3 linked regions of the Struthio camelus genome follow. The protein of the gene in region 1 purifies or fractionates together with the protein of each later gene. This does not show direct contact. Links are inferred from orthologs where the notes say so. Each region holds a gene or a part of one and is shown on either strand. Other genes may lie near its edges.

Region 1 (7,813 bases):
CCGCCGAATCCGCCTCCGCGGCCCCCGCCGAAGTTCCCGGAGCCGCTGCGGCCTAGAAGAGGGGGGGGAGGGGGACAGCCTTTAGGAACAGCACAGACAGTAACGTCTAGCGTCAGCTCGGGGCGGCGGGGAGCTGGGGCGAGATTTGAGCGCTCACCTCTCTGGCTGGCTGAAGCGCTGGCCATTTCCTGCTTCGAGAGGGCTTTCCTCACCTCGCAGTTGTGCCCGTTCACAGTGTGGTATTTCTGAACTGCAGGGAAGGAAACGGCGTTTAGGACGCTGCCGTCAAGCCGGACGCCCATCCCGCGCCCCCAGCACCCTCCCCGCAGCCAGACTTACTGACTATCTTGTCGACGGAGTCGTGGTCATCGAAGGTGACGAAAGCGAAGCCCCTCTTTTTGCCGCTGCCGCGGTCTGTCATGATCTCAATGACTTCGATTTTGCCATACTGGCCAAAATAGTCTCTCAAGTGATGCTCTTCTGTGTCTTCCTTAATGCCGCCCACAAAGATCTTCTTGACTGTGAGGTGGGCCCCGGGCCGCTGGGAGTCCTGCGGGAACAACGCGTGAGGTGGAAACGGGGCGGAAACGGGGCAGCACCGCACGCCCAGGTCTCCCGGGCAGAAAAAAAAACAGGCTTCGGAGCCTCCGTCCTCAGCACCTTCACCCTCGCGCTCAGTCACCAGCCATCCAGCAGCACTCGGAAGCGGTTACCCTCTCAGCCAGGCCCGGAGCGAGGTGTTTAAGCCTAGAAGAGCTGGCAGTTCTGCCCCGCTTTGGTTACCGCTTATCCAGGCCGTGCAGACCCACCCCAAGGCCAGCCTTGAGCCTTCTACGCCCCATCTCTACCCTCAGCCAGGTCCCTTCAGCCCTTAACAGTGAGGTCCAAAAGCGTTTCTTGACCGCTGCAGGACTAGCTGGGAGAGCCACGGCCCGAGGCATCACCTGAGCCTCAGAAAAGCTCCTGGCACCACCAGGACGTGGCACATCGCGGCGGTCACCGCGCGCACGGGCACGGTTTGGCTGCGTCAGGTGCCCAGCGCCTCCTGGCAGCCCCGCAGAGCGTCCGCACCTCACGCGGGTTCCTACCTCTCTGGAAACGGCCCTCTTTGGTTCAACAACTCTGCCGTCGACTTTGTGTGGCCTGGCGTTCATGGCAGCATCGACCTCTTCGACTGAGGAATACGTGACGAACCCAAAGCCTCGCGAGCGCTTGGTGTTTGGGTCCCGCATCACCTGGGAGGACAAACCCACGTCAGACAAGGAACAGCGACAGGTACTAAACGAGCCGTCAGCAAACGGGGGTCCTAGCCTGCTGGTTACCAGTTAGCACCAACCCTGCTCTTCTCAAAGACACCATCAGGGACCAGCTGCCGCATGCAGAGACGTTGGCGCTGCCTCAGGGTGTCCCTATGACACAGCTCAGGGAAACTGGGGGATATTTTGGGGCCGGGGCTTGCTCCATCCTGACGCTGTCCCTCAGCACCTTCACCTCTCCCTTCTGCGGGCAGGTCCTGGCCCAAGCAGACAGGTCTTCCACCCAGAGCAACCACTTTCCATTTAACCCAAATAAATACGCTTCGAGCCCCTCAGTATTACACCACCAGGGCTAACAGCGGTCTGAGAGCCCCAGAGAGCCAGGTCTCCCCAGAGGTGTCACAACAAGAGCCCCTGAGGGCCGAAACTCAATTGCCCACCCTTGTCTCTGCACAGAGGCTCAGCTGCTTCCTGCACCGCTTTGACTCCGCTCAGCCTGGCGGAGAAGCCCAACGCAAACCACGTCTCCTCGCAGCGCAGAGCCCCGCGAGGAGGCAGGCAGGCGCGGGTCAGGCCTTACCACGCAGTCGGTCAGGGCGCCCCATTGCTCGAAGTGGCTGCGGAGGCTTTCGTCTGTTGTTTCGAAGCTGAGGCCGCCAATGAAGAGCTTGCGCAGCTGCTCGGGCTCCTTAGGAGACTGGTGGGAGAAAAGAGCGGTACGGGGAGGGGGGTGAGCAGGGGGTGCTGCTGCCAGCAGGCTGCCCTCCCTACCTGTCCTGTGGGACACCCCTACCCCCCCCAGGGCCACAGAGGTCCCATCACTGCCAACTCCCCTCCACAGGCCCCCCTAGGCCCAAACAGGTCCCATCACTGCTAATTCCCCTACAAAGGGGCCCCCCAGGCCCCAGTCAGGTCCTGCCCCCGCCACCCCCCTGCACAGGGCCCCCCCAGCCCTGTCCCCAGCCCCAGGCAGGTCGTGTCCCCCCCACACCGAACCTGTGGGCCTGCCCAGGCCCCACCAAGACCCTGCCCATCCCGAGGGCCCTCCCTGCCCCCCCCCCGGCCTGTCCCAACCCCAGGGCAGCCCCGTCACCCCCCAGGTCCAGCCTGCAAGGCCGCGCCGGCCGCAACTAGGCCCTGTCACCCCCCAAGCCCCATCTATGGGGCTTCCCCAGCCCCCAAGCGAGGCCCTGTCACCCCTGTGCCCCCCCCCGACCCCTCCCGTGCAGGCGGCCGGGCTCAGCCCAGCCCCGGCCCGGCGGAGCCCCCCCCCCCCAACCCGGAGCCGACCTGAGCGCCGCGCATGCGCGCTGGCCGCGCGGCCGCCATAGCCCACCCGAGCACAAAGGCGCGCACGTGGCTCCGCGAGCGGGGAGCCGCGGGTCGGCGGGGGGTTGGGGGGGGGGGGAGAGAGAGAGAGCGGGAGCGCGCGCGCGGCTGCGCATGCGCCGCTGGGGGCCCCCGGCGCGCCGCGAGGGGCGGGGGGGGCGCCCGCGCGTGCGCAGAGGGCGGCGGGGAGGCGGGGTGCGCAGGCGCAGTGCGCGCGGCCCGCCAGCCGCCGAGCGCGGCGGCCCAGGAGGGGGAGGCCGCGGCGGGCGGCGGCGGGCGGCGGCGGCGGCCCGGGGGAGGGCGGGGGCGGCGCGGCGCTTACCTCGTTCTTGGACATGGCGGCGGTGGGGGGAGAGGCGGCCTCCGAGCCGGGCTGCTCCGCGCGCGATGCTCCCTCTGCGAGGCGCCGACACAAAAAGGGGCCGAGTGACGAGAGCGCCGCCGCCTCACTCCGCCGCCCCCGCCGACCGCCCGCCCCCCGGCCGCTCCCATTGGGCGGTGCCGCCCGCGCCGCGCCCCCGCGTCGCCTCCCATTGGGCGGCGGGGCAAAGCGGTTGGGCCTCATTGGTGGTGGCGCGCCGCTCCGCCCGCGCTGTCGCCGCCGATTGGTTAGCGCAGAGGAGGTCCCGCCTCAGGGCCTATCGCATTGGACGAGGCCTCCGAAGCCCCGCCCGTGACGCGCGTCGATTTTTCCCGCTTCGTCCCGGAGACTCGCCAGCTCTTCCCGGATTGGCTCCGTCGGTCGCGGTCCCGCCTCGCGCCTCCCTCTCATTGGCTAGCGCAGCAGCCCGGCGGTGTTCATTGGCGGGGCCGGTTGTCGCTCAGCGCTCCCCTGCGGCGGGCCCGGCGGAGGTCAGCGAGCGCAGCAGGAGCGGGGCCGCGGCGGAGCGGCAGCGGCGGGGCCGGGCGGCGCGCGGCGCCCCCAGCGCAGCCCCCCGGCGCGCGCGGCAGCAGCGAGGACGCTCGCCCGCCCGCCCGCCGGCGCCCAAGGTGGACTCCGCTCGGCGCATGCGCAGCCCGGCGCGGCGCGGGGCCGGGCGGGGCGGGCGCATGCGCGGCGCGGGGCGGCCGGCGCCTGCGCGCTGAGGGCGCTGTTTTGGCGGGCGGCGGGCAGTGCGCAGGAGCGGCGGCGGCTCGGCGCGGCGGCGGCGGCGCGGGGGAGACGGGGCCGCGGCGGAGCTGCTCCGTGCCCAGGTAGCGGGCGGCGGCGGCGGGCCGGTGGCGGCGGCGCCTTGCGCCGAATGAATGGGGGGCAGGGAGCGAGGAGGGGGGGCGTGCCCCGCCGGCCTGATTGGCAGCCGCGCGGGCCAATGGTGCCGCGCGGGGGGCGGGGCCGCGCCGCCGCGGGGGGCGGGGCCGGAGGGGGCGGGGTCGCGCCGCGAGCGACGGGCGGCGCGGCCAATGAGGCGGGCGGGGCGGGGCCGAGAGGGGCGGGGCCGCGGCGTGAGCGGCGGCGGCGGCGGCCAATGGGAGCGCGCGGCCCGCCCCGCCGGGTGGATGTGCAGCGCCGAGCAGCGGCTCCGGGCGGCCGGCGAGGCTGGCGTGCGCTGAGCGGCGTCGGGCCTCAGCCCGGAGCCCAGGGGCCTTGGCAACAACCGGCGGCCCCAGCGCGCTCGTGCGGGGCGGCCGGGCCGAGGTTCGGCTCCGCTCCTGGCGCCGTGGGTCTTCTCCTGCCGTCGCCCGTTATGTTTCTTACAGCTCTTAAATCGCTCCGGAGAGAGGCGGCTCCGGGCGGCGGAGGAGACCCGTCTCGCATCGGGTGGGAGGAAGCGCCCGACTGCTTTGGTGTTATTTCTCTCCGGTTTGGACAAGCCGGAGCGAGGGGGCGGCCGCCTCGGCCCGGCCTCGGGGCTTTTCTCCGTGGGGTTTGGCGGCAGCGGCGGAGCCCCGTCGCCCGCCAACGCGGAGGTTTCGCGGGGATCCCGCTCCGCGCCCTTTGCTCCCGAGCTGCTTCGAGCCAAAAATCAGCGGTTTTAGGGCTGAGGCCGGCTTTGGGCACGCCTTTGCCGCGGGTCGAGGCCGCGGCTTGGAGCTGGAAAGCGCCTCCGAACGCCGCGGCATCGATGGCACGAATGACCCACGCTGGGAGATTTCGGAGGGGCCTGTCACCGTGGCGTCAGGGCTGCCGGGGTCTCCCCCTGCCCCATCTACATCATCGCGTTGAATCGCCCGGGGATAACACGCATCCCGGGGCCCAAACACCGCGTGGCTGGAAGGCGGCTTCGAGGGCCGGGGCGGAGCGGGGGGAAGAGGGCGATTCCCTTCCCGCTAGCTTTCGGTGCCGCCGTTTTTGGTTTAAAAAGCAGCCTAAAACGCACCGAAAGCGGGTGGCGCCGAGCTCCTTCGCCCGCCGCCCCGCGCCGCCAAACCTTTAATCAAACCGCCCCGGCGGGGAGCGAGCGCCGATGAACCCGGCTCTTTCCTTTTGCCCCTGCAGGAGGAGGCCGAGCTCCGACAGGCGGCTGGCGCGGGAACCGGCGGCCCCCGGCCGGCTCCGTCGCCGCTCGACCTACGCCGGCACGCGGCAGGAAATGCCGAGCGGGGACGGGGAGACGAGGAATTTCCTGATTCCCGTCTCCGGTTCTTCTCGCTCCGTTTTTTTTTTTCCTGTGTCATTAAAACAAAAAATAGAGGATTTAAAAACCCAGCTCTTTGCCCGGGAGCTTGGAAGCATTGCCGGCGGGGGACGCCGACGCCCCGGTTCGGCTCACCCGGGGCGGGATGGAGGCGGTGGGCGGGGAGGGGGGGGATCACGCGTACGCGGCGGCTTCGAGACCTTGCGGCGCCCGCGCCGAGAAACCAGATTCAAACCGCGGCGCCGGTCGGCCTCGCTCCGCCCGGCGAATCCCCGCGCGGCCCGAGCCGGCCTTTGGGGATCGTCCGGCGAACGGCGTTTCGCTTCCGGCCGGCAGGAATTGGGTGGCGTCGGCGCGTTCGGCGGGAGCTCCTGCGCTATGGGCAAGAAGAGCAAGCGGACAGCAGACAGTTCGTCCTCGGAAGACGAGGAGGAGTATGTGGTGGAGAAGGTGCTAGACAGGCGCGTCGTCAAGGGGCAAGTGGAGTACCTGCTCAAGTGGAAAGGCTTCTCCGAGTAAGTGCCCCCTGCCTTCGCGGCTCCGCTCAAGCCGAGGAGGAAGAGGAGGGAGGCGGGGGGCACCCCTGGGCGCAGGGGAGAGCCTCTCCCAGCCTTGGGGAGAGGCCCAGCCGCGGCGCCCGGAAAGCCGTTTAGCAGCACTGCTTGCTTATCTATTTATTCATTCATTCATTTATTTATTCATTCATTCATTTATTTATTCATTCATTCATTTATTTATTCATTCATTTACTTATTCATTCACTTATTCATTCATTCATTCATTCATTCATTTATTTGAAATTTCCCGCTGGCAGGGAACATAACACCTGGGAGCCGGAGAAGAACTTGGACTGCCCGGAGCTCATCTCGGAGTTTATGAAAAAATACAAAAAAATGAAGGAAGGCGACGCCAACAAAACGCGCGAGAAACCGGAGAGCGCCAAGCGGAAATCCGGCCTGCCCCACGCCGCCGAGGACATCAAGGCCAAAAAGAAACGGGAGGTGAGCGGAGGCCGGGCGACGGCGGGCGGGAGGGGTTGGGGGTAACGCGGCGCCGCCAGCGCCCCGTTCCTCCTTCGCGCCCTCCCGTCCGTCCGCAGAGCAACGACATCGCGCGGGGCTTCGAGCGAGGCCTGGAGCCCGAGAAGATCATCGGCGCCACGGATTCGTGCGGCGACCTCATGTTCCTGATGAAGTGGTGAGCGCGGCTGCCCCCCGCCGTTGGGGACGCGAACCGGGCAGGGGGGGACGCGGCTCATGACGCCCCGTTATGTGTTTGTGTCCCCCCCCCCCGCCCCAACTCCCGCAGGAAGGACACGGACGAGGCCGACCTGGTGCTGGCCAAGGAGGCGAACCTGAAGTGCCCGCAGATCGTCATCGCCTTTTACGAGGAGAGACTGACCTGGCACGCATACCCCGAGGACGCCGAGAGCAAAGAGCGCGAGGCGGCCAAGAGCTAAGGCGGCCCCCGGCGGCGCCCCCGCTGTACATAGCCCGTCCGCCCGCCGCCCGTCCCCCCCCCCAACCCCGTTGTCGTCCGTTCCCCCCCCCCCAAAATAACCGCATCCCCCTGCCGCCCGCCGGTCCCCGCGGCGGTGGCCTCGGGCGCCCCGGCGCAGCGCCCGCAGCCGGTCCTGCCTGGGGAAGGTGGTGGTGGGGGGGGGGTCTCCCCTTATGCCCCCCCCCAACCCCATCGGCCCCCGTTTGCCCCCAGCGGGGCCCGTGGGTGCCTGCGTCGCCCCCCCCGCCCCCCCCGACCAGTGACAAAGCCTTGGGGTCCGTCCCGGGGACAGGACGGTTCCCCCCGTCCCCCCCCCCACGGCCAAACCCCAGCTCTGGGGCTGGGCAGGGGGGTTGGGGGGGGGTTCAGCCCCCATCTCTGCTGTTTTTCTACCGTTGATGTTTTTAACTGGGCCCCCCCCCCATCCCCAGCCCCCGGGGGCCCCCCCCACCACCCTGGGCCACTTCATTGTCCCCCCCCCGCCCTGGGTTGTCCCCTTCTCCCCCCCCCCCCCGGTATTTGCTTCCAATAAACGGTCACTTTTCAGGAGCCGCCGCTCGGTGCTCGGCAGCGGAAACCGGCCCCCCCCCGCCAGTGTCCCCAGTGTCCCCAGCTCGGCCCCCCCCAAACGGTGGTGTCCCCCCCCACCCCAGGCTGCAGGGAAGGGACCCAGGAGTCCTGCTCCCCCCCCCCGCCGAGGAAGCAGGATGGGGCCCAGGTGTCCGGCCCCCCCCCCAGCACCGCAGGGGGTGGGAAAGGCAGTGCCCCCCCCCACCCCGGACGCCTGGGCCCCTGCCTGGCCTTGGTCTCTGGCGCCACCTGGCGGGGGTGGTGCTGCGAGGGGTGACGGGGGGGGGGTGTGACACGGGGTGAGGGTGTCCCAGAGCGGGCCCCGGTGTCCCGCGGTGCCCCCAAAGGATGCGCCCAGTCCCCCCCCCCCAAAAGGGGAAACTGAGGCACGGGGTGGGGGGGGCAGCACTGGGGACCCAGGCGTCCGGGGCGCGTCACCAGCCGGGGGGGGGGCTCAAGCAGCTTCATTGGAGGTGGGGGGAGGCGCTTCGGGGTCCGGCAGCCCCCCCAGCAGCCCGTCCTGCGCCAGCTGCCCCCGCAGGCTGGGGAGAGAGGGGGCGTCAGGGGGCGGCGGGGGGGACG
Region 2 (8,088 bases), on another chromosome or scaffold:
ATAAAACACAGATTAGACTGCAACCTGAGAACAATGAAAGACATAACTGCTGTTTCTATGAACATATTCTCTATCAAACATCTATTTCTCTAAGTATAATTCTTTTTTAATCATACTTAATCTAGCCTGAACATTAAAGTCGTCAGCAAGATCCCTAAACGATCCCATGTGACTCCTTTTACGCATGAAAACTTAGCAGAGTATAACTGGAAGCAAAAAGGTAACACTTGTGGAAAAAGATCAGCTGCTAAAGTCGGAAAATAACACTGTATAAAGCACTTTTCCAAGTTCTTTCCAGAAATACAATCCTAGCAAGTGCTGCTACTCCCTCATCAAATCATGCATGCATTTTGCGAACACTACTTCTTGCAACAAACTATTTTATGAAATGCTGCTTCCATTAGAGGAAAAAAAAAAAAATCAGCTGAAACGGCACAAGGTACAAAAGTCTATTTAAGACTAAATTTGTAGCTCTGTTGGTAACCATAGAGCATATCTCTTCTGGGTTCCCTGTTCCTTCCTTCACAAGTTCTACTCCAACTCTATTCCTCCCACCTACTCTAGTATTTAAAGATCTGTTTTACTTTAATCACTAAAAACAACAGAAAACTTTTTTTTTTTTTTTTTGCGCTCTGAGTTGGTTTTCTATCAGGTTACTCAAACAAATCAACTACAGGTTTGATAAGCCTCAGTGTTGGTGCAAAGGGGATAAGTAGCAGTAATCTGCCTATTTGGGGAGAGCTAAGACCTCCCCTCTAGGAGATTTTACTTTCCCCTTTCCGTTGCTCTTTTCTTCCTACTACTCCTCCTGAGCCAGCTCTGGAGCTCACTAGATAAATTTGTTTAGCAAAGGACCTATCTAGAATGGTAGAAAACTGTTTAGCTTTTCTGAGTGAGCTGCTTTTCTGTCACTCCACCTCTGAGTCACACTGACTCAGAGGGACCACCAGAACTAATAACAAGCCAAGTGTGAAACAGGACAGAAAAACTTCCTCCTTTGAGTAGCACTACATTGCTACTCACACACTCAATCTCATAAGACTGAGTGTGCGTGCCTGACGCTTTTAGATTCTTAGATTTTATGCAAAAATTTGTCTATAACATGACTTGGATATTTAACTAGATGAATATCAAGCTCTCAGCTATTTGTGCCTTTGCACTTCACATCTAACAGAGATATCAGCTACTATCAGAACAGTTTGTAAGGTGACAGCACTAAACAGTAAAAGCACCATATCCCTTTCCTACCTAACTGAACTGGTTCCTCACCAGGTTTTACACATGCTGCAAGAAATAAAGCAAATAATCATATCCTTGGAGGAAAGAGATCTAAACTCCTCTTTAACTACATGGTTGTAATCTATAAAATATAAATATTTGTTTTTATTATTTGTTTTATTATTTATATTTAACAATTGTAATTATAATTACAGTAAGTCATTTTCCATAAACGAAAGCTAAAGCATCTCAAACCATTCCCAACTTTATATTTTGCAGACATAGAAATAGAACGTGATGGAAATCAAAATCTAATCTCGTCAAGGATCAGAAATCATGAGCAAACCTTTCCCATTCACACGCAGTTTGAGAACGTGCTGACAATAAAATAATCCCTAAAATAAAATAACTTAAGTCTTCATGTAGTTCTGACAGCATCCTAACTATATAAAATATGAAAGGTAAACACGACTCAAAGCCTTTTACGTACCTATCAACTGCACAAGGTAAATATCCTTAACAAAAGTAATTGACGGAACTACAGAAACAACTAGCCTACCTAAAAGAGAGAATGCTATAACTAACATCATCTTTTAGAAAAATCAGTGCATAAAAAGAGCTAAAAAATTTATGCAGCTCTGGCACGTTCAGGGTTGAGCCTTATGCATTTCCATGTCCTGAAGATGAATGCTCCAGACAAAAAAATTTCCCAGCTCCTAAGCTGCATTTAACCACCACTGGAAAGAAAGCTTAGCTCTCCCAAAACTAAAAAGAGAACACTGTAACGCTCTGATTCAACCCTATCATACTCCTTGGGTCCTACAAAGTCACAGAAAGACAGACATGTGACATCATTACCCCACACTTTCACTTTCTCTCTATTTCCTGCTTTAATGACTGATTTGTACAAAACCAGTACACTCATCTTAAGGAAAAGCTGTGCCTCAAAACTTCCTGCAAGGCACCAACGAGGTATTAGCGTACTCAGAACAGGAACGGGAGTGCGGCCAGGGCAGGCACTCCATGGTGTGACGGAAGAGAGGAAAACACATAAACGAAATTAAGCTACTCCTCCTGATAACTGACCCAGCCAGGTCTGATGGACAAGGGCAAGAAAGCGCCGAATCCAACTGCTTAGTTACTTGGAGTAAACTACTGCGTTGCCCAGCCTCGTCTCTCCCTTCCTCCTTGACGCCCCATCTCCACAGCTTGTCCCACGTATAATTACACGGCCTGGAAGAAGACTTGCCTCTTCCTCTTCACAGAGGAAAAGAAACAGCGTGCTCTCGCGTAAGTCACAAGGGACAACACTGTAAGACAAAGCGAGGGAAGGGGCGCTCCGCCTTTGGCGGCGCTGGAGAAGAGCAGTTGCGCTCCCCGCGCCCTTCGACCCTGAGCTCACCCTGCTCACACGTGGCGAGAGGCCGCCGCCGCCGCCGGGCCGGCCCCGCAGGGTCCCCCCGCCCCCCGCCTCACCCCGCAGCCCGGGAAGCGAGGCGCCGGACGGGCCAACGGCCGCGGGCCAACGGCCACCGGGGCGCGAGGCGGCCCCGGCGGCCGCGCCCTTGCGCGCCGCCCCCGCCTCAGCTGCTGCGGGGCAGCGCCGCGGAGCCGGGTCTCACCTGCCGGGGGGTGGGGCGGCGCCCCGGGCCGGGGGGCGCGCGGCGGCTGCCGCCGGCGGGCGGAGGAGGGGCAGGAGGCGCGGGCAGAGCGCCCGGAGGCGCCCGGCGGAGCTCAGCAGCGCGGCCATGACCTCCGCGCGCGCGCGCCGCACTCGGAGGAGCACGTGAGCCGGCCGCCGCCGCTACTGCGCGTGCGCACCCGGGCCCGGGGGAGGGTGGTGGCGGGTGGCGCTCCGCCTCTGCCGGCCGACGTGCTGGGGAAAACCATTCCCTCAGGGGAGGGCCTCTGGGCCCGACTAGAACCTGGCCCGCTGACGGCACTGGGGAGCTTTGCAATCCCCCCTATGCCACTGATGGAACATTCCAAGCAAGGTCGGCGCTGCCGCTCGTCACCCTGGGAGTGGGTCGATCAAAAACCAACCCGGAGTTGCTCCATCTAAAGCCTGTCGGCCATGTCCCTTTAGCCCATAAAGGGGTAAAGCCAGGTCTCGGAGGCAAAGTCTGCGTCTCGCTGCGCTTCTGAGCCGGGGAAGGCGAGGACAATGTCGTGCCTCTCTCGGGAGTCGGGCCTTATTCTAAGCGTCCCTCAGGCAATTCCGCGCTAGATAACGGTTGGCCCCGAGAGGGTCTCCCAGCTAGGTAAGCGTCGGCCCGCCCCCGCCAGGAGCCGGAAGTCACGTGGGGGGGGGGGGGAGCAGTGCGCGAGCTGCGTCTTCCTGTGTCGTGGGTGGCTGCGCGAGCGCGCAGGAGGTTCTGGGGGCCGCGAAGGGCCGTTGCGCGCTGCCGTTGGGCGCGCACCGCTACCGCCGGGCCGGGCCGGGCGGGACGGGACACGCGAGGTTAGTGCCTCTGAGGGCTCAGGGCGAACCGCCTCGGCGCTGGCTCCCAGCCCGGGCCGGCCGGCCTCGTCTGCCCTCAGGTGTCGGCGCTTCTGTTCTAGAGCCCTGTGGGGGGAGGTTAAGGGCAGTGGCTCCTGCCTGGCGCTGCTGCCGCCAGCCGAGCTGTCTCGGCTGGTTTTACCCACTTTGGGCTCTCTTGAGAGAGAGGAAGCGTTTTCTGTAGTTCCCCGCAAGTTCAGGATTTCAGGCGGGATGGAGCTGTCACCAATTTTCAGTGGGTTATTTCAGGCACTGTAATGTACGTCTCTGACACTCTACTGGATGCATATGTACTACCTATGACAAGCAGCATACAAACGTGAGAAAGAAACTTGGCTTCTTTTTGTCGCTAATAGGAAGAGCTCCATCTGAACTCAGCTATTAGTTGATTTGTACTTTTTGTTTTAAGAAAGTTGCACTTGCATAGTTTGGCTGTGAAAGCCACCAGTGGCTGTCAGTCTTTACTGCAGTGACATGCACTGACTGGATTTTTGTGTTGAAAGAGCAGAAGCGAAGAGCCTCTGAAATCTCCTCTCCTACTCTCTTTCCTTCTGGAAAAGACTGGCGTTATGGGTTGTGGGGGGAAGAACCTTGATTTAAAAACTTTTTATAACTGTAAATCTCTGCCTGATCATGTTTACTAAGATGTTCTGTGCGTTGTAATTTTGTACTAATGTGCAAGTTAAAGCTGGGTACTAAGACATAATTATACAACATCAAATTAGGTAGGTACTTCTAAGTTAAGTAAATGTTTTTATACAAAAACATCTAATTATTTTTGCAGTAGACTGCGCATAACTACTCCAGGGGGCAGATTGCTCATCAAACTGAGATTGAATTTATCAAGTCAATTACAATCAGTCATTTTCTATTACAGTTTATTTGGTAAGACGTGTGAAGTCCTGAGGACATCAAAATGTGAAGAGCACAGTTTTTAGAACTTGTGAACATCTGCTTTTGCTATTTATAAAAAAAAAGTTCTGGGTGCTCAATACTTGTCGTAGTCAAGCCTTAGGTCATGAAATAAAGCTAATATTACAATATTTGTAAGGTTACTGCTTTTCATGGGTTCTGCTTTATCACGATGTTACGATATTTCACACAGCACACACTTTAGTATGAATAGCGGAGTCCAAGATGAATTTCTTAACTTAAATGCAAAGCTAGTAACATACATGCTAATTATTAGGATGATATAGGAACTTACTTACCAAACTTAGATGTGGAGTAGAGCCCCACTATGCTAGGAGCTATTAAAACGCATGTCTCTGATGCTGATAAGAAAGCTAAGGAAAGATAAAGCAAAAGGATAGAGAAGAAAAGGGAAATGGTGACATAACATGATTATTAATAATGCTGATAATAATTGATCAGCATAATAAATAGTAGGCTTCTGTTGCTCAGACCTCACTGTTACTGAATCAGTAAAGGACAGTTTTAAGAACTGTTTTAAAGGAGACAGAACTCTTCCAAAGGGCAGAGAAGACCCAAAGGTGTTTGTCTGAAAATCTAGTAAGTAGATCACAGGATCTGAAATGATGAGCTGCTCAGAGAAGAGCTGACTCTTCACTCCCAAGTGGTAAGTCATAGACAGGGTTCTGTTTTAGAAGTGAAGACAGCTGTTTTGCTTGCTAATGAAAAGGAAAGGAGTCCCTGAGGAATTAATTCAAGATGTGATATACCTGAAGCAGTAGACTTAGGTGTTATATTTGCTGAAGCTCTCTGAATGGATGAGGGTCTAGTTTGCGCTATCAAGATCTGGAAAAGACAAAGTTTTAATCAGTAATTGAAACGTAATTGTTAGAGCCTTGCTGAGAGTTTTAATTCTGTGGATGAAGACGGAAGGTTGTGTATTAGACACATTATTCAAGGAGAAAAATGGTTAGCACTTGTATGTATGTGAGAATCTAGAGAAAGCGCTGAGTGGTGGAATAATCAGTAGTAGTTGAGAAAGAGACGTTATTAGGTAGAGAGTGAAAGTTTATTTTGGCCATGCTAAGCTTGAGTTGATGTGTCATACATGAGATGTGAATGAGGCACCAGGATTTTAGTTTAGACAGAAAGTTTGAGATAGACCTCTTGGGCCTCAGCACAGGGTTAGTAGCTATATTTGTAGGAAAGATTATCCAGAGATAAGGGGATGTAGAGCAGAAAAGGGCGAAAACACAAATACACCCAAAGAGGAGGAGGAAGATACTCATCCAAAGATCCTCTTAAGGAACTTTTAGGTTGCAAAAGGTGAAATAAGGAAAAGGAGGAGTCATAGAAGCCAAGGAAGAAAAAGCTACCAGAAATCAGTTGTGCTCAGCTGTGTAAGAGACAGTTGAAAAGTCAGGGATGGTGTGAATGAGTCTATGCTAAGAGAGGGGAAAGAAGGATGTGGGGCGGACAAGGGACCAGAAAAAGGGAGTAGTCCAGGGGAAACTGGTTTGTTGGTCTCAGTACCAAAGAAAGAATTAACACAAAGCCCCAGAGAAGCAAAATAAATCCTCTGCTGACTTTCTGTTTTTTCCTTTCTCCAAACAGCCCAGATCTTCCAAGATTCTTGGCCTGGCCTGATTGACCCCAGGGAATCTATTCCTAGGGAGAATAATTCCCAGGAGACTATTCCCACAGATAATTTAGCAGTGCCAGGGAACATATCTGGACTTCAGAGATGTTTCTGTACTGTTAAATTCCTAGTCTCTGAAAAAGTTTTGGCCCATGCCACGCAACTGCTGGGCGAAGTTTAGGGAATTAGCATCAGTCAGCCTGGGACTGTTGCCCTTAGGCAGTTTGGAGATGGCCACGCTGTGTTGGAGGGTAAGAGATTTAAAGGGAAGGACTGTGGCCAAACTCTTCCAGTTGGCTTCAAAGCCAGGGAATGATTCTGGTTATGTTTAATGTAATAGATAGATACATACAGACATATGTGTTCTGCATCCGCCAGTACATTGTTAAGTCCGAATAGGGTTTCTGCTTATAGAGACCTTATCGTAAACAATTCTTAATGATTTTAAACCTTAATTAGAATGTGACATGGAAATTTCCAAAGCAGGAGGTACAATAAATGCAGTAATTCAGAACTTTTTTCCTGCTACTCTCCTTTGTTCCAAAAACAAAACCCAGAACAAATAAACCCTCAGATGTACAAAATAGTCAAAAATATTCAGAAAAATCCGAAAATCCAAAGTTAAAATTCCTCTATGAATGCATCTCCTGAATCTGAACATGAGAAACTGTTGGAGTGCGTGATTCGAGGTGTGTCAAAATCCCTTCAAAACAATGGAGGAAGTGTAAATGGACCTACAGCAGCTCTACTGCATTATTTGTGTAACTGAAATATAAGGGCAAGAGAATTAAAATTGGCCTGGGACTTTTGCCTTTAGGCGGTTTCAACGCGGCAGAGAGTAAGAGCGTGACAAGAATCATGTATATGTATTACTTTATATAAGAGGTTTATGAGAGGTTAACCCTTGAAAAAATCTAACACGGTCTTTGCTTGCAGGCTGTGCATTTAGGGCTAAATTATTCCACGTTTGCCTCAGGGGTCTTCAGAGCGCCCTCTACCTGTTTGCACCTTCTGGTGGAGAAGTCAAATCTGTCGGGGAAGATGTTTCTAGAGTTTCCAGGACAAAAGGTTTTCAGTTAGGCACAGAACATGGTGCAGTCATAGGGGGGAACGTCCTGCCTGTACTTTTGCATGTTTTCTTTTCATTGGCTACGTTAACATGGCCTGCATCTAGAGGCTGCTGTGTGCAAATGAAACCAGTGCCATAAGATACAAACGTCCGATCTCCTGCCAAGGTCATCATCCAGTCACTGTGCGGTCTGTGTTATGTAATGGAGAATGGCAACATGGTTCCCAGCATTCATTTAATGGCTGCATTCATCTTGGGAAATGAACTACAAGGAAGGTTTGCTGTGGAGAGAATAATTTGGGGGGTTTACCTGAGACTTTGGGGGAAGGTAGGCCATGGAATTGGGAAGATGGTGAGCTATGTGTATATCTGTATTGCTAATATGAATACTGGTTTTATTTCTGACATTTTGAGTAAGGATAACCTTAGATTTTAGGCAATGCAGTGATTTGGGATTCTGGTATGAAGAATATGCATTCTTGAGGGGACATGACAAGGAAACCAGAAGGTGACTGTTCCCTGTGACTTGTTCTCCTCCAAGCCTGACTGGAAGTGTAGGCTTTGGTCTCTTGCCTCAACTCAGTCATGCAATCCAGGCTGAAGCAGTAGAGTCTCTGAAAGAGGTGAGTCCCAAGGCTGTAAAAGACGAAAGGATTACAATGAATATAGTTCTCTGTGGTTCTCAGTATATATGTCTGTATATATACAGATACTCCTTCTGTCGCAGGGAAGAGAGTCTAACTCTAAATT
Region 3 (7,093 bases), on another chromosome or scaffold:
AATAAAATACCTTTTACTACACTTAGAAAAGTATTATTCAACTCAGATGCTGAACTTCCGTTTGATGTGTTCTAATATTAGGTAACGACACTATCTTTGTAACTCTGAAGTTGGCATGCACCTTAAACACAAACAAATCAACTTAAAGAAGTGAATATCTTGTTTTGCTAACTTTGTGAGGAGTCTTTTGAGTCAGAGGCTAAACACAAACACCAATATGGTGTAAATTCTAGCATTTGTAATAGTTTAAAAAGGGGGGGGGGGAGAGGTTGCAAAGTATTTTGAGATACAATAATGAAAAGATAAACGTATAAAGCAATGCATACTCAGAGATAAAGTCATTTCACAGCTCTGCCTGTGAGCAATGTACCGTTTTAATATTAGCTGACTCAGACAGTCTGTTTGCGGTGACCCTAATTTTACTCGTTTCATATGCATAGTTTAAAACAGCACTGAGAATCTGCATACCTTACAATGCAACTGGGAGAGAAAAATGCAAGTTTTCAGCCATACCTCATGGCTAATCATCCAAGAACACCATGTTACACCTCTCTCTAGATCACGCTGCATTAACAGAAGGTTCCTTTCCCTACTAAACTACTAAGCGTTACCGTACCTCGGACTACATGTAAGAGGAAAAAACCTTTTCAGTGGTAAGTTTACACATGCTCCCATTACGTTTGGGATTCCACACACAACAAAGATCTCTGGCATAAAGGCTTCCAATCTTGGTCGCTTCCAAAGGGAAAGCCTCTACGATCCCATTAAGATCACAGTCTCCTGTAACAGTCTCCACATCTCTGTCTCAGATATTCAGAATAATTCCTTAATTCTTAACTTTTCTCAACTTCTTTAAGATACCCCAATAACTATTAGAAACTTCAGATATGTCTTTCTGTACCATTTCTATACTTTAGTACCCTTGTGCAAACAAGGGCCCCACCGCATTAGCTCCTCTCTTCATATCATTGCAACCAAGCCCATTGGTTTAAACTCTGTCAACTGAATAAAGATCACTGGAATCAAGCAATTAAGTTGGAACTCTTTCTTTTTTTTATTTTAGGTTACCTTATACTATTACAAACAAGAATTACTTGTCACCATTTCTTCACCTGATTGTCATTTAGTACTATCACATGGAACAAACAGACAGCCATCTACTGCATAAAACTCCACTACTCACTAGTTCCTTGAGTCCTGGTGACAAGTGTCTTCCCAATGTTTCGGATATTAAACATTGCTGGTGCTTTGACATCATACCAGTCCTTTTTGGAGAAGGGATCAACCCTTAATTTAAATGAAGGAGAAAAGATTTTCACTCATTTTTCAGATTAAACCTGGCTGAAGCAAGTACTTCTCCCCATACGCTTTGTGACATGGAAACGCAAATTTCAAAACGCTGTGTTTCCACGTTTAAGATGGACAGGTTAACAGGTGCATGAACGCATACAGTGAACACTGTACTTCGCACACAAACGAAGCGCACACAAATGCCGGTGTACTTCAGAAAGAAGGAAACCAACTTCAGAAGCATCACAGGGCTAGAACGTCAAAAAGCAATACCGCGCTGCAGTGTGGCCTGTCATTTTTTGATAAAACAAGCAGTGTATTTCAATCCTTCTGCTGAGGCCTCGCTTTACACTTAAAGACCCTGTAAGCGCGAGACTTGACTCGCACTAGGGATAAAAACCAACCCGCCCCGGGCCTCTGAGCGGCCTCGCTGTTGCAGCCGCCCAGCTCCGCTCCGTTCCCAGCCCCGCGCCGCCGGCCGCCTCCAGCCCGGGCCCTGCGCGGCACCCCCGCCCCCGCCCCAACGGCCACCGGGCCCCGCCGCCATGACAGCCGCCGCCGCCGCGGCCCGCTGCCGCCGCCGCCATCCGCCCCGCATCCGCGGCATCCCGGCGCCGCGGCGCCGCCCCCCCGGCCCAGGCCCCGGCGCGGCGCCCCGCCGGCCCGCCGTACACTTTCTTCTTGGCGCCCTTCTTGCCGCCTTTGGTGAGGCGCTTGTTCTTGCCGACCGCCATGGTGCCGCCCCGCCGACGGAAAGGGCCGGCGCCTCCTCCTCGCGCGAGATTATACGAGAGCGGCGCTCGCGCGAGAGCTCCGGCTGCGCCGATCTCGCGAGACCGGCGGGCCTCTCGCGAGATCACGGCCGCCATCACGGCGCGGGGCAGCGGGCGCGAGGGGACTTCCGGGCGCCGGGGGGAAGGCGGGGGGGGGGGGGGAGAAGGGGAACGAGACACAAAAACCCCAGATTGGCTCGGGCCGGGGGTCTCCGGTGACGGTGCTGTGTGCCTTGTAAGAAGGGAGGCTTCAGCTGCCAGCTACCCTCAGAAAGATTCGGTAAGGTGGTGTCAGGCGCTGCCGGAGGTGAACGGCCGCGGAGCGGCCGCTAGAGCTCAGCGCCCGTGGCTGAAGAGTAACCTGGAGGCGACGAAAAGGCCGGGGAGTAGTTTTGCCAGCAACTAAAACCCCTCAGACTCAAAAATTCTGTGGGCGCTTTACAAACCTCTAGAAAGAGGAAATAAAACTGTGTCATTAAGTACCTACATGGGGAAGAGAAACGTGACCATAAAAGGCTCTCTTGTCTTTGGTTGATAGGCTACGTGAGATCCAACAACTGTGGATATTCACAGTATGTGAATGCTTATTAGAAATAAGGCATATATTTTTCAAAAACGAGCATAATCAGACTTTGGAGAAAACTTAAGAGACTGTCAGTTCCCTTTCCCCTCCCCAGGCATTTCTAAATTGATAACAGGTATTTTTTTCCTCATGGTAGGTATTTAGGTATGGCTCAAATGGGAGTTTATTCAGAAAAGTCTTGTAGTTTGAGTTCTGTGCGAGATCAGGTTAGATAGTCTTACTGACCCCTTCCAGCTTCATCATGATTAATCAACTTAAATTGTAGCTCATACTTTCCAGGTGTTTGTCATGCTTCTTACAGACACGGACAAATGCTGCTGTATGTCTTCTACATACTTAGTTCAGAGATCATTACAAATTACTCTTCATAATCATGGCAAAACTCGTAAAAAAAAAAAAAACAACACCACACACAACCCAGAATATAATTAAGTATTGACATCATATGATTCCCACATCCCAGACACAGGAAATCCTTTTAGATAAAAGTGTTGCAAGCAGAATAATACTGTGAGAAGTTCAGGCTGCGTTTCATAGTAGTTTGCTTTGTAAGAGAAGCATCCAAACACCTACTCAAAGCATTCCAAGTTCAGCTCTCCAATTACTTGTTGCTGCTTTCACGTTCTTTCACTCATCAACTTGAGTCACATGCCAAGGGCATAAAAAAGCAAATCGAGTTACATGGTGGGAAGAGCCTGTAATGCTAAGCTGCAGCCTGGTGCTTCCATCGCTACATACACAGTACACTGACACCAGCTGCAGCGTAGGCTGCCTCCCACTCTGGGTGCTTGCATGCTGGGCACAGGTGCTCAGCAGATTGCAGATTAAACTAACAGGCTGCCTGACAACTGGTGTGCCAGACTAGAAGCGTGGGGAGCCTTGGGCATGGTGGCAGATCCTGGCTCTATCCCCTTCCAGTGTTACAGCTGCTTGCCTGCAGCACGGGTCTGAGGCTGGGGCATGAACTGTTCGGGGCTTCTGAATCTGTTTGAACTTGCCAGTTAAAACATGTTCAGGGTAATAAAAATCTTGCACTTGGAAAGAGGCAGTTGTCAGCCACACAAACACCATCTGTTACATTTTACAAATGAAACCGGAGCCACAGGCACAGTTCTGATTACTTCATCAATTTCTTTCACACCAGCCTGGAATTTCATCTGCATGCCTAAAGCAACTGGAATCCATCAGTAACTCACACTATCAGACTGAGAACATAATCAGACAAGAGCAGAGCTCCTGCTCACTACCTCCTAGGTGATCAGACTTGAAGAAAAGAAATCTTCATATTTTTCTCCTGAATGGCAGGGTAAAGGGACGCCAGCCATGACAAGCTGCAGTCTCCTTCTCCAGGCTGCAGAGCTGCAAAAGCCTCATCTCAACTGATCTGCTTTGTTGGCACATTATTAATTAGGATTCCCTGCAGCAGACAGAGTTAACTTTAAAAATCTCACTTGCACAAATAAAATACCTCTTATAGCTCCTGAAACTACATATCTTCTGAGGAGAACTTTTTGGATTTCCTAGTAGTTTCTCAATCAGATACCACAACCAGCCTGTTTACCTGACAGTAACTGCCCTTTGCTTTTGCCCAGGACAGTAACTGAAGGCTTCCTAAGCTCTAAGGCTCCTCCATGTACCAACATCAGGGATTTTATTGTCTTGATACTCCCCTCCTAAATGAGTTTGGAACCAGCTGAAAAGGGAAGTGATCTGCAGGGTGGAAACACCAAAAAAAAAAAAAAAAAATCAGGAGAGGTGCCCAGCAAGAACCTTAGAAAGGTTCTTTATTTCTGCTGGAAATAAAGTCATAATGAATCTGATGTAATCAGCCTAGCACTTCTGCCAGATGCTACCATCCAGCATTTCAAAAGGATAACTGGAAAGCTGAGCAAATACTTCAAAGGCCTCTAGCAGTTAAAGGCTTTTTTTTTTTTTCCCCTCTCCTCTTCTCTGCTTTTACATAGAAACTGTGTAAAGACAGAAAAACTTCAGCAGGAAATAGGCATTAAGACTGATCTAACTTTGAAGTTAGCCCTGTATTGTGCAGGGGGTCAGACCGGACAACCTCCAAAGCTCCTCACATCCTAACTTTTTCTATGATTCCAAACTTTGCCACACAGGAAGTTGGGTTTGGTTCTCTCTCTCAACAGAATTTCTTTGTCTCCATAGGTAGGCTGTCAAAACAGAACAGATTGTCTATCTGTTATTAACTGTGTCTCCAGGAGGCATTTTTCACCCTTCCTTCCTACCTTCTTTGCAGTGAACAGACGAATTCACCTTCCTCTCCTTCCTTTCTAGTTCTCAAACTACAGAACTCTGCCTGCAGTTCTCTAACTAAGCTGAAGGACCTGATGTGGCTTTTTTTCTTTCCTTTTTTAGTCACTTCCCTGTTGAGCGTGATAACTGAATGAAGTTGGCTTGCTCTATTTCTTGGAAGTGGCAAAACTTTCTAAATATGGATATCAGAGAGTAGTTAATTCTAATCAAGCTTTGCTGTTAAGAGACTTCCCAGTTGGGGATGATAACCCTCTCCCCACCCCCCGGCCCCAATATAGCTTTATTGCACACAAGCTAGGTCTTCTCAAAGTTAAGATATTAATGGTGACTGATTGCCATTAATCAATGGCTTTACCATCTATGAAACACTGAACTGATAATGGATTCTAACTAATATAGTATTAAATATTGCACAATAACCACTACAGTTATGAAGACAGCACCTTTTATAGTTATTTTTGATGTTCTTATATACTATTGAAGAGTTTTCAGAATCCCACTCACATGAAATAGGTTGTTGTTGTAGCTAGTAGAACACACTTCCTTTTTCCTTATTGTCATTCTGGTTCTTCAGCATCCATTCCCACAAGAAATGCACAAAGACAAAAAAAATCCCACATTTTTCTCTGCAATTTTATACCCTAATTCCATACATCTTCCTGAAGAACCTAGGAAGAAGCAGAGGTACCAAGATTACCAAAATGAATCAAGAGGCATTCCAACCAGGCTTGTTACATGTTATCTTGCTGCCTTTCCCCTCCAACCATCTTGCACAACTGAAATAGTCAACACACAGGACTGCTCTTGAGTCTCTCCCCCCCCGCCCCCCCCAAAAAAAAAAAAAAAAAAAAAAAAAATCAACCATGCTCTGCAAAGTTTCCCCTTGTGTCATCCCTAGGAAGTAGGTCCAGTTATTAGTGTCATTCATCAGTGAAAAGAAAATGGGCATAGTCCTGGTACCTGTATGTTCAAGGAACATGTATCAATATACCTCTTGGGATCACAGATTAAATTAATTGTATTTAACCTGAGCAGTTATGCTTATGCTAGAAAAGGACACATTTAAACAAACAAAGATATATGTAAGGAATTCCACTCTAATGGATTTGGGTCATGGAAATATAGTAACTGGAGCCAACTTCCCTTAGGTTTTAAGTTCAGAAGATGACAAAATGTTTATCTCCTCCAACATTGTGTTAGTCTTTCAAGAAAAAAAAAAAAAAAAAGGTACTAGATGCTGTTCTTGCCAGTTTATTTCTTTTGTGGATAACCCCACAGCTTCCTTTCAGAGTCCTGTGCTTGGAGCAGCATTTTGCCCTAATTTTTCTTAAGTGTAGCTGGCTACCACAAATACAAGCCAGCATCCCGCGAAACCATATATATACACTTACTGTTGAGCAGTGCTCCAAGGGTCTTTGTTCCTTTGTTGTTAGCTGAGCAAGAAAATTTCTCCAAAAATCAGCCATTTCTAGGAAATACCAGGAGTCATTTGTATTGTTCTCTGGTTCAGATACAGTGCGGAGCTCAGGCATTTCCAGAGCCTTGAAATTGCCTTGTAACTAAATCAGTACTTCAGATATTTCAAATAGGAGCAGAAGAGAGGGAAAAAAGGCAAAAATAAGCTGAAGAAAATGGCATCCTTTCCACTGAAAAAGTTTTATATTTATACGAGTAAAAAAAAATATTTCTCACAATGAGAAAATTACACATAGCAATCCTAAAGATTGCCTCTAAGTAAACACTCAGTAAGTGAGAGTTAAGATTGTTTACAATCTTTTATTATAAGGTATTTTATTGCTAGCATCATAAATAAAGTTGCTTTCTTCAGGAATCTAGCTGCTGCCAGCTCAGTATGTGGGAAGAAGTTCTCACTTTAATTACAACGGTCTAGCATCTCTAGCCCGTAACAGGAGGGCTTTGTGGAAAGCGAATTTTGGAAAAAAAGGGTGTATTTATTTGCCTCCTAAAGGGTTACCACCCCAACCTAGGAATAGATGCAGTTTCCTAATGCCAAGATCAAAATCCAGCTCCCTATAAATCTTTGGAAACGTATACAAAGCAACATCTATGTCTCCTTCTCCAGCTTTCTCCATTACCCATGAAACAACTGAACGGTTTTGGACCTCCATCTCTGCCACCAGACGCTACTGACCTTTGCCATCAGTTTCCT

What was found. The genes of interacting proteins can lie anywhere in the genome.
Region 2: the proteins of HNRNPA1 (region 1) and LRPPRC purify together in Homo sapiens (affinity purification with mass spectrometry; 3 studies listed by BioGRID, with this or other methods). This does not show direct contact. The link is inferred for Struthio camelus from reciprocal best matches to the Homo sapiens genes HNRNPA1 and LRPPRC.
Region 3: the proteins of HNRNPA1 (region 1) and RPS3A purify together in Homo sapiens (affinity purification with mass spectrometry; 3 studies listed by BioGRID and IntAct, counting the BioPlex papers as one, with this or other methods). This does not show direct contact. The link is inferred for Struthio camelus from reciprocal best matches to the Homo sapiens genes HNRNPA1 and RPS3A.

What each region holds. Positions count from the first base shown.
Region 1 is NC_090969.1:2,899,787-2,907,599, forward strand, and holds the start of HNRNPA1 (heterogeneous nuclear ribonucleoprotein A1), read right to left. Parts: upstream 2,973-7,813; 5' UTR 2,923-2,972; coding exon 2,908-2,922; intron 1,954-2,907; coding exon 1,837-1,953; intron 1,236-1,836; coding exon 1,089-1,235; intron 551-1,088; coding exon 340-550; intron 251-339; coding exon 158-250; intron 80-157; coding exon 1-79. Other genes in the region: CBX5 (chromobox protein homolog 5), read left to right, coding at 2,973-3,437, 5,498-5,676, 5,976-6,162, 6,261-6,358, 6,470-6,620. UniProt on the Homo sapiens protein: Involved in the packaging of pre-mRNA into hnRNP particles, transport of poly(A) mRNA from the nucleus to the cytoplasm and modulation of splice site selection.
Region 2 is NC_090944.1:110,245,722-110,253,809, reverse strand, and holds the start of LRPPRC (leucine-rich PPR motif-containing protein, mitochondrial), read right to left. Parts: upstream 3,029-8,088; 5' UTR 2,969-3,028; coding exon 2,841-2,968; intron 2,417-2,840; exon of another isoform or gene 2,305-2,416; intron 1-2,304. UniProt on the Homo sapiens protein: May play a role in RNA metabolism in both nuclei and mitochondria. In the nucleus binds to HNRPA1-associated poly(A) mRNAs and is part of nmRNP complexes at late stages of mRNA maturation which are possibly associated with nuclear mRNA export.
Region 3 is NC_090945.1:37,075,545-37,082,637, reverse strand, and holds the start of RPS3A (small ribosomal subunit protein eS1), read right to left. Parts: upstream 3,029-7,093; 5' UTR 2,160-3,028; coding exon 1,963-2,159; intron 1,288-1,962; coding exon 1,184-1,287; intron 1-1,183.